Macaca fascicularis: one gene and its partner. The protein of the gene in region 1 purifies or fractionates together with the protein of each later gene. This does not show direct contact. Links are inferred from orthologs where the notes say so. Each region holds a gene or a part of one and is shown in the gene's direction. Other genes may lie near its edges.

Evidence for each region.
Region 2: the proteins of VDAC1 (region 1) and BCAP31 purify together in Homo sapiens (affinity purification with western blotting; 3 studies listed by BioGRID, with this or other methods). This does not show direct contact. The link is inferred for Macaca fascicularis from reciprocal best matches to the Homo sapiens genes VDAC1 and BCAP31.

The regions. Positions count from the first base shown.
Region 1 is NC_088380.1:140,514,870-140,518,639, reverse strand, and holds part of VDAC1 (non-selective voltage-gated ion channel VDAC1), read left to right. Parts: intron 1-1,376; exon of another isoform or gene 1,377-1,447; intron 1,448-2,540; exon of another isoform or gene 2,541-2,543; 5' UTR 2,544-2,546; coding exon 2,547-2,613; intron 2,614-3,206; coding exon 3,207-3,256; intron 3,257-3,770. UniProt on the Homo sapiens protein: Non-selective voltage-gated ion channel that mediates the transport of anions and cations through the mitochondrion outer membrane and plasma membrane.
Region 2 is NC_088395.1:159,779,708-159,784,204, reverse strand, and holds the start of BCAP31 (B-cell receptor-associated protein 31), read left to right. Parts: upstream 1-1,620; 5' UTR 1,621-1,655; coding exon 1,656-1,809; intron 1,810-2,028; coding exon 2,029-2,167; intron 2,168-4,497. Other genes in the region: ABCD1 (ATP-binding cassette sub-family D member 1), read right to left, coding at 1-41. UniProt on the Homo sapiens protein: Functions as a chaperone protein. Is one of the most abundant endoplasmic reticulum (ER) proteins.

The DNA.
Region 1 (3,770 bases):
GAGTAGACTTGACTCCATTTAGCCAATGGTTTCTGTGCGTCTTCCCTGCCAGGTGCTGTGCTGGGGAGAATGCTTACCTAGGGGTCCAGAATGGGGGAGATTATGCTTCATTGTCTGTGTTCAAGGAGATGGGGAAGAGAGCATGACACACAGAAGAGAAAGCCAGCATCCAGCATGTTTACAGTGAGGTGTTGGATAAGGATATGTTTTAGTGAACCAGCAAGTTCACTTGTGTGCTGCTGGTACCAACTACGTGGTGGTTGTGGGACCCCACAGCCCCAAAAGAGCTTGGCCGTGTTGGAGCTCCCAGAGGCCCCAGGAGGGGTCCGGTCTGCTCTTCTGAGCTCTGCTGTCTGAGTCCCTTGTCCTTGGGTGGTAATCTCCTTAGTGGCCTGGTACTTTAGGCTGATGTTTGCTGTGGGTGGGGTGCTTTTTGACAGGTGGCTGTGCTTGTTGGGTTTTGGGGATTAGTGATGAGAGAGGGCATTTGGGGAACATTAAGTGGATGAGTGTTCTGCCTTTATCCTGAGCGGGGACCAGTCCAGATGTGAAGGCTACTGTGTCTGGGAGGCATCTCTTCTGTGGGGTCAGGGGAGAGTCGTGAGGAAGGCTCTGGCTCCTAAGGTCCAGGGAGGTCTTAGCTGACCCACAGATATTACCACGGGACTGCTTCTCCTCCTGTCTCCCTAGCCCCACCCCGAGCTGAGTTTGTAGCCCAGCTGGGAGAGATAGCACTGAAGGGGGGTGCTTGGTTCACTGATGGTTTGTTAACCCTGTCAGGTGGAGAATGTTCTGGGCCATTTGCTGTTATGTTCTGTGTCTGCCTGGGGTTACATTGCCTCAGCTTTCAATCCAGAGTTGTTCTCCTAGGAAGGGGTCAGGCAAAGGATATTTCTTGAGGATCTGGTGGATGGTTTCCTTGTCTATCCCAGGGGGATGTACCTACAGGGTTAGTTTGGGAGGGAGGAACAGGTGGGGAGAGGGGAGCCCCCAGACTTGAAAGAGCCAGTGGCGGGCAGTGTAAAATGGTTCTTCCTCCTCATCGCTCTATCCTGATCCTAATGTGGGCTGACCTGTCCATGGTTCCAGCTTGATCATGTGCAAGAAATAACATAGCAGCGACAAAAATAGGACAGAGTAAACAGCTTGCTGCTCTTCTGTCTCTGCTCTGACACAAAAGTGAGCTGGGATAAAATTAACAAAGCATCTGGAAAAAGTAAAGTAGGACCTGGACCACAACTTCACAATTTAAAATTGTAGAAGTTTATACTGTTTCTTTTGCAACATACTCAGTGAGTCTGTGGCCTCCTGCAATGCCTTTGAAGTTAAAGCTTTGGCCAAGAATGCAACTTCCATTTGTTATATTGTTCCCTTAGGATCACTTGAACCACTTTTTAGTGGGCTCCCTCCCACTCACCAGGAGCAAGTCATACATGTGTTTACTTGTGTGAGTATATATACATGTAACTTCAGATGGTGTATATGCAGATGCATTTTGATAATTTAGGTATACTGTATTTTAAAACGAATGGTCCTTCTGGTTGAGACTAATGATTCTGGGAATGGAGAAGGTGCAGGAGATGAGGCTTTCTCATGCTTGACCCCCTCTGCTCCTGGGCAGAGCACACAGTGTACAGTCCCAGATGAGGATATTAATCCTGTGTACACAGCATATACAGCATGCCAAAGCAAAGCCTTCCAGGACTGCAGTGTGCTCCTCAGGGCAAAGACTATTTGAGTTACTCTCCTTCCTTGAGCACTGAGGTGCTTAATAAATGTTTGTTGATTGACTTAGTGATATGCAGCAATCCCAAGTAGTCCTTTGATGGTTATTTTTGAAAATAAAGTTACACTGGAGCTTAAAAAAATGTTTGTTTAAATTAATTTATTTGTAGGATGTATTTGGGTTTTTTCCACGTGAACAGCTGCCAAATTGGTTAGGTTTTACTGTATTTCCTATGAGAAATACGAAGTGGGTTCCCATAAAGTCCAAAAGTTTTGTGAAAAGTTGGGCCCATCCTGGCATGTAGTAGGTACTCTATAAATATTTGTTGAATGAATGAAATCAGAGCCACATGGAAAATGATGTTCCCATGAAAAGCTCTTATTTCTATTCGGCGCATTTAATGTCCTAGTAGCTGGCATTTTATAAGAGGATATGTTTTATTGGCAACAGTCCTAAAATTCAGTAAAGACATTGGCTCATGGGAATGTGTCTTTGACAGTTTATTCATTAAGCAAATATTTCCTGACTCCTACTCTGTTCTGGGCCTGGGCTCAGTCCTGGGGATGCTGAGGAGGAGAGGTCTAAATTGTTGATCCTCTGTCAACAAAGACTCACTGAGTGTCTCAAGCTCTGGCCACAAAATGAAGTACAAGACAGCAAGGGCTTCTTGGCCCATGTGGGAGGATAAGCTACCTGGAAGTTTTAGTGCTAGGTGATTTTTATTGGTTGCTAATTACATCTAATAATTGTTATTGATGGAAAGCTAATTTCCCTAATTACCAATGCATTTATTCTGGTGATTCTTTTATCATAGCAGAAGATGGCTGTGCCACCCACGTATGCTGATCTTGGCAAATCTGCCAGGGATGTCTTCACCAAGGGCTATGGTGAGTGTTGCAGAGAGCGGGTGCCTTTCAGCCCCCAGACTGAGTTGGCATGTTTGAGACTTTACCGATAACTGTTTAGGAGACCTGGGTAGGTCAGCTGTTCTGAACTTTCACGTGAAGGAAAAAAGCAGCTTTCATTTGTGTGGCAAATGAAGCAGTTTTGGTTGTGCCCCCAGTTGGACGGGCTCCTGCATTGATGCTGTCAAGTGGGTATTCCTGTTTTCTCTTCCAAGTGTGGAGCAACCCTGTGGAAGCTGCTGCAGTGGAGCGCGGCTTCTATATTTAGCCTGTGCTTAGGCACATGCCCACGAGGCCTGATGACTGTGTCTCTGCCAGCTGTCAGGCATCTTCTTCTCAAACCCTGCTGGGAGTGCAGGTGGGACCCAGGTGGGCCTGTGCGCATTCTGTCTGCTGCTGTTCCATGGCAGCTGAACTCCCCCCACGAGCAGCAGCAGAGACTGGGTGCCCTCAGCCCGTGTGGCAGTAGTGTACTTCTTCTAAAAAAGCATTTCGAAGCAACCGTGAGGGAGGCAGAGGTGCTGTTCTCTAGATAGTTATTTAACCTATTAACAGTTGTCTTCTTCTTTCTTTAGGATTTGGCTTAATAAAGCTTGATTTGAAAACAAAATCTGAGAATGGATTGGTAAGTTGTCCAACCCACGTGGAACATGAGTATTTATTTATTTTTATTTTATTTTATTTTATTTATTTATTTTTGAGATGGAGTTTCGCTGTTGTCACCCAGGCTGGAGTGCAATGACATGATCTCAGCCCACCGCAACCTCCACCTCCAGGGTTCAAGCGATTCTCCTGCCTCAGCCTACCGAGTAGCTGGGATTATAGGCGCATGCCACCATGCCCGGCTAATTTTGTATTTTCAGTAGAGACGGGGTTTCTCCATGTTGGTCAGTCTGGTCTTGAACTCCCGACTTCAGATGATCTGCCTGCCTTGGCCTCCCAAAGTGCTGGAATTATAGGCATGAGCCACCACACCTGGCTTATTTTTATTTTGAAAAAAGATTTTAGATTCAGGCTATACATGTACAGGTTTGTTACATGGATGTATTGTGTAACGGTGAGGTTTGGGTTTCTAGTGTACCCATTACCCAAATAGTGACCATTGTATGGAACATGGGAATTTGTTGTAGATCAACAAA
Region 2 (4,497 bases), on another chromosome or scaffold:
GTGCTCCCCCGCCAGGGCCGGGGCCTGGAGAGCACCGGCATGTCACCTGGGCTGGCTGGCGCGCAGGGACTGGGGCTGGTGCCTGGGGCAGCAGTTGAGGCAGGTGGCTGGAAGGGTTGTTGTTCTGACCCCGGGCCTGTTGTCTAGGCAACTGGAAACCTTGCGATGGCCCTTGAGACTGTCGCTTTAGGCCCCCGGGGTGCTGCTGGGGCCCCTGGTGCGGTGGGCTCAGGGCCCTCCAGGGTCGCGGCCTCTTCGGGCAGCCCAAGTGGAGAAACTTGGCTCTCCTGTCCTGTCAGTGCCCTGGCTCCTGAGGTCAGGGCCTGGAAGGATTTCGGGCAGAGGGGGCGTCTCTTCCTCTCCACCTTCTTCTCCTCCTCCTCCCCTGGTGGCGCCCCTCCCCGGGGCACCAAGCGCGTCCGTCCGCTCCGCAGCCTGGCTGAAGCGACAGTGACTCCGCCACCGGCCCAGAATCCCCACCCACCCCTCCCCAGGGGCGAGTCGGGGGAAGGGGAGGAGGCGGAGGAGGGGCGAAGGGCGGAGTCCGGGCGCGGGAGCCCCACCCTGTTCTCGCCCCTCGGCGAGGCCCCTCCCCCACCAACCCCGTTCTCGCCCCTCGGCAGGGCCTCTCCGCACCACAGAGACGTGGGACGGCCTCGCGGACTAGATAAGCGGCCCTCGTAGGCCCGCCAAAGCCCCGCCCCGCCCGCGTGCTCGCTCCACCCCTCCCCGCGCGCCCGGAGCCCCAGGCGCCGCTTCCTCTCGCGCTCGGGGCGTCGGCCCTCCGCTCGGGGGCGGGGCGGGAAGCGGCGGTGGGCGGAGCCTCCGGGGCCTCGCGAGGGCTAGTGGGCGGTGCCCGGCGGGCGCTTCCGGTTTCCGGCCGCGGGATGAGGGGCGGGGCCGGGGCTGCTGTGGGAGAGTTCGGCTGCTGCGGCGGGGCCTGCACGCTGACTGTGGGAAACTCGGTGAGCGGGCTCCGCGCGCCAGGCTGAGCTCCGGGACCGCCGAGGCTCCCTGGCCCCTTGACGAGGGAGAGAGGCGAGCGGCGCGGGGAGGCCCGGGGGCCGGGGAATCTCGGGGCCCGCAGCCTACCTGGGTGTGAGGGGCAGGGGAGAGGGGAAAACGGGCGGTGCCTCTAGAAGCTGGGCTCGGGGGCGGGGTGGGGGGCGGTGAAGCCCCACCTGGAGGAGCGGCCTTGCTGGGCCTCGGGGACGGTGTGCCAGGCCGGGGTCATGTCGGCGGGGCCCACGGTGCGCGCAGTAGGCTCTCGCTCTGGGTGGGCGCTATGGCCCTCGAGGGCTACTGGAAGGACCCCTGGCTTCTGAGGAGACTGCGTCTAGAACTTTCCCCGTATGGGGCCTTGAGGTGCTTGGTCTAGACCTGCTTTTGCGCTTGGTCCCGAATTCTGCTCTCTAGGAGTCGCTCTTGCGGGCCTCCAGCCCACCGGAGGCGAAGCGGCCCCGGGCGGAAGGCCGCTTGAGCCTCGAGGGAGGTGCCGGTTTCTCTCCGCGGGCGCCGTGGGGACGGTGGGAGGCGGGGGTGTCGGCAGCGCTTGGACTAGATGCGGCCTTGGGCCCGCCTGGTAGCGGGGATTTGGGCCAACAGAGCGCCCGCCTCTGCGGCTGAGTTCTGCCTGGCGGGGAAGGGAGCGTCCAATGGGTGCCGAGGCGTCCTCCTCTTGGCGCTCTGGCACTGCTCTTCCCGAAGAACGCTTTTCAGTTAAATGGGCGTCGGAAATCTCGGGCTCCCTGGGACAGGGATCGTCGGGAGAGGCCGCTCTGGACGTGTTGACACACGTGCTGGAGGGGGGCGGGTAACTGACCAGCGAACGGAAGTTTGTGGGGCCTGTGAACGCTGCTGGCCAAGCGGCCTTGCCTAGTGGAGCCCTGCTTCCGCCAGCGCGTCAGAGACTGTGAAGCAAAGTGCAGGGGGTCGAGTGGAGAGTGGCGGCCCCAGCCTCGCAGGGTAACTGAACTGGATGTTCTTGGCTGCCCAGCGCTTACAAATCCTGTTCCTTCTGTGCCCTGCCAGGAAACAAGCTCACATCTCCCTGTGGGAGACCTTCTAGCAGCAGGATGAGTCTGCAGTGGACTGCAGTTGCCACCTTCCTCTATGCGGAGGTCTTTGTTGTGTTGCTTCTCTGCATTCCCTTCATTTCTCCTAAAAGGTATGGCTTGTGGAGCAAGCAGGCGAGTTAGGCGGGAGGGTCCCTGTGCCCTAGCCCTGGGACTGGTGTGTGCAGCTGGTGGACCCTGGAATTGGAACCCGATGGAACAGGTAGAACCTGTCAGGGGTGGGGGTGGCAGGGGTTGTGTTTGTTATTGCCAACCCTCCCCAGGGTTCTGCTTCGTCATGACTTGCTCAGTTCCTTTTCCTGTGTCCCCTGCCTTCTGGTCTTCAGAATGCCCGCGAGAGGCAGGAAGATCCATGTTACAGTTCTGGAAATGATGCCCTCCCGCCTACTCTTGGCCCCCGGGGTCTTGGGATGGCAGCGTGGGATTCGGAAGACTTGCACCACTGGGTCACGTTGTTGCTGATTTGGTGACTCTTGTCCTAACTAGTCTCACTGGCATTGCGCAGTGGCTGCATGAACATTACTCAGCCTGTGGAGGATGAAGCCATATTCCCTTTTAATGAACAGAGGACCTGTTAAAAGTGAATTGGAAGTTAATTGTTAATTATGTATAATACCTGAACACGTCCCTATTTAAATTCACGTATTACAAATAAGGCCAAATCTCCACAGGTATTTTTAAAAACTGTTTTTTCATGAAAAATTATCCCTGATGTGATACCACAGAAAGTATGCAGCGCTGCCTGAGGAGGATTCTTGCAGAAAACCAAACCTTTGTACAGTTGACAAGACATGCAGAGATAGAGGGCCCCGGGGAGCTTTAATCTGGGAAGCTTTAGAGGACAGACAATCTGATTTCTACACAAAGCAAATTGGAAAAGCAAATGAAAGAGGGGAGGGAAGGGGGAGCTTCCATAAGAAGAGGGATTTAAGACATTTATCTACCAAATGCCAAATCGGTACCTTGCTGGGTCCAGATTCAAACAAATACTGTTGCCTACCGTGATTGGCATTTTCATCTCTAGCCCTGATGATGAGGGCTTCTTGTTGGTTTGAACAATATGTAAACACTTCTGAAGTCTCTTCTTAGAGCTGCATCCCAAAGCATTTGTGGAGGGAAATGATGTGAGGTCTAGGGTCCATCTCATCATAACCCAGGGTGGGGGGGGATATAGGCAAACCAAGGTTTATCATGTGGAAAGACAGTTTAAAGAAATAACATGTGTATGGGGCAGACATTTTGAATATTACAAAGGGGAGAACAATGAAAAGTAAGTTTCCCTTTTCAGAGACTATCAGTGTGTTTTCTTTTTGTTGCTGTGGTTTCTTTTTTTTTTTTTTTTTTTTTTTAATTTTGAGACAGAGTCTTGCTCTGTCACCCAGGCTGGAGTGCAGTGGTGTGGTCTCGGCTGACAGCAACCTCCACCTACTGGGTTCAAGTGATTCTCCTGCCTCAGCCTCCTGAGTAGCTGGGACTACAGGCGCCTGCCACCATGCGCAGCTGATTTTTTATATATATGTGTGTGTGTGTGTGTGTGTATGTGTATATATATATATATATATATTTTTTTTTTTTTTGTAGAGATGGGGTTTCCAGACGTGAGCCACTGTTCCCAGCCAACTACCCGTGTTTAAGATTAGTTTTCCAGGCCAGGCGCGGTGGCTCACGCCTGTAATCCCAGCACTTTGGGAGGCTGAGGCAGGCGGATCACGAGGTCAGGAGATCGAGACCATTGTGGCTAACACGGTGAAACCCCGTCTCTAATAAAAAATACAAAAAATTAGCCGGGCGTGGTGGCGGGCGCCTGTAGTCCCAGCTACTCGGGAGGCTGAGGCAGGAGAATGGCGTGAACCCGGGAGGCGGAGCTTGCAGTGAGCCGAGATCATGCCACTGCACTCTAGCCTGGGTGACAGAGCGAGACTGTCTCAAAATAAAAAAAAGATTAGTTTTCTAGACATTTCGATCTCTACGTGGACCAGCACCTTTTTTTTTTTGAGACAGGGTCTCACTCTGTCGCCCAGACTTGAGTGCAGTGGCGTGATCTCAGCTCACTGCAACTTCTGCTTCCCAGGTTCAAGTGATTCTCCTGTTTCAGCCTCCTGAGTAGCTGGGATTACAGGCACCCACCACCATGCCTGGCTAATTTTTGTACTTTATTTGTAGAGACGGGGTTTTCGCCATGTTGGCCAGGTTGGTCTTGCACTCCTGACCTCAAGTGATCCACCCACCTTGGTCTCCCAAAGTGCTGTGATTACAGGTGTGAGCCACTGCACCTGGCCTTTTTTCCAACGCTCTTGAATGGATATCAAATTAGAGAATTGCAAGCCACTGAGGCTGACTTTGTGTGGGCTATTCGGCCATTGGAGAAGAGTGCAAAGCTGGATTTCCATTTTGCTCAGGGCCCTAGAGCCCATGTGTGTGC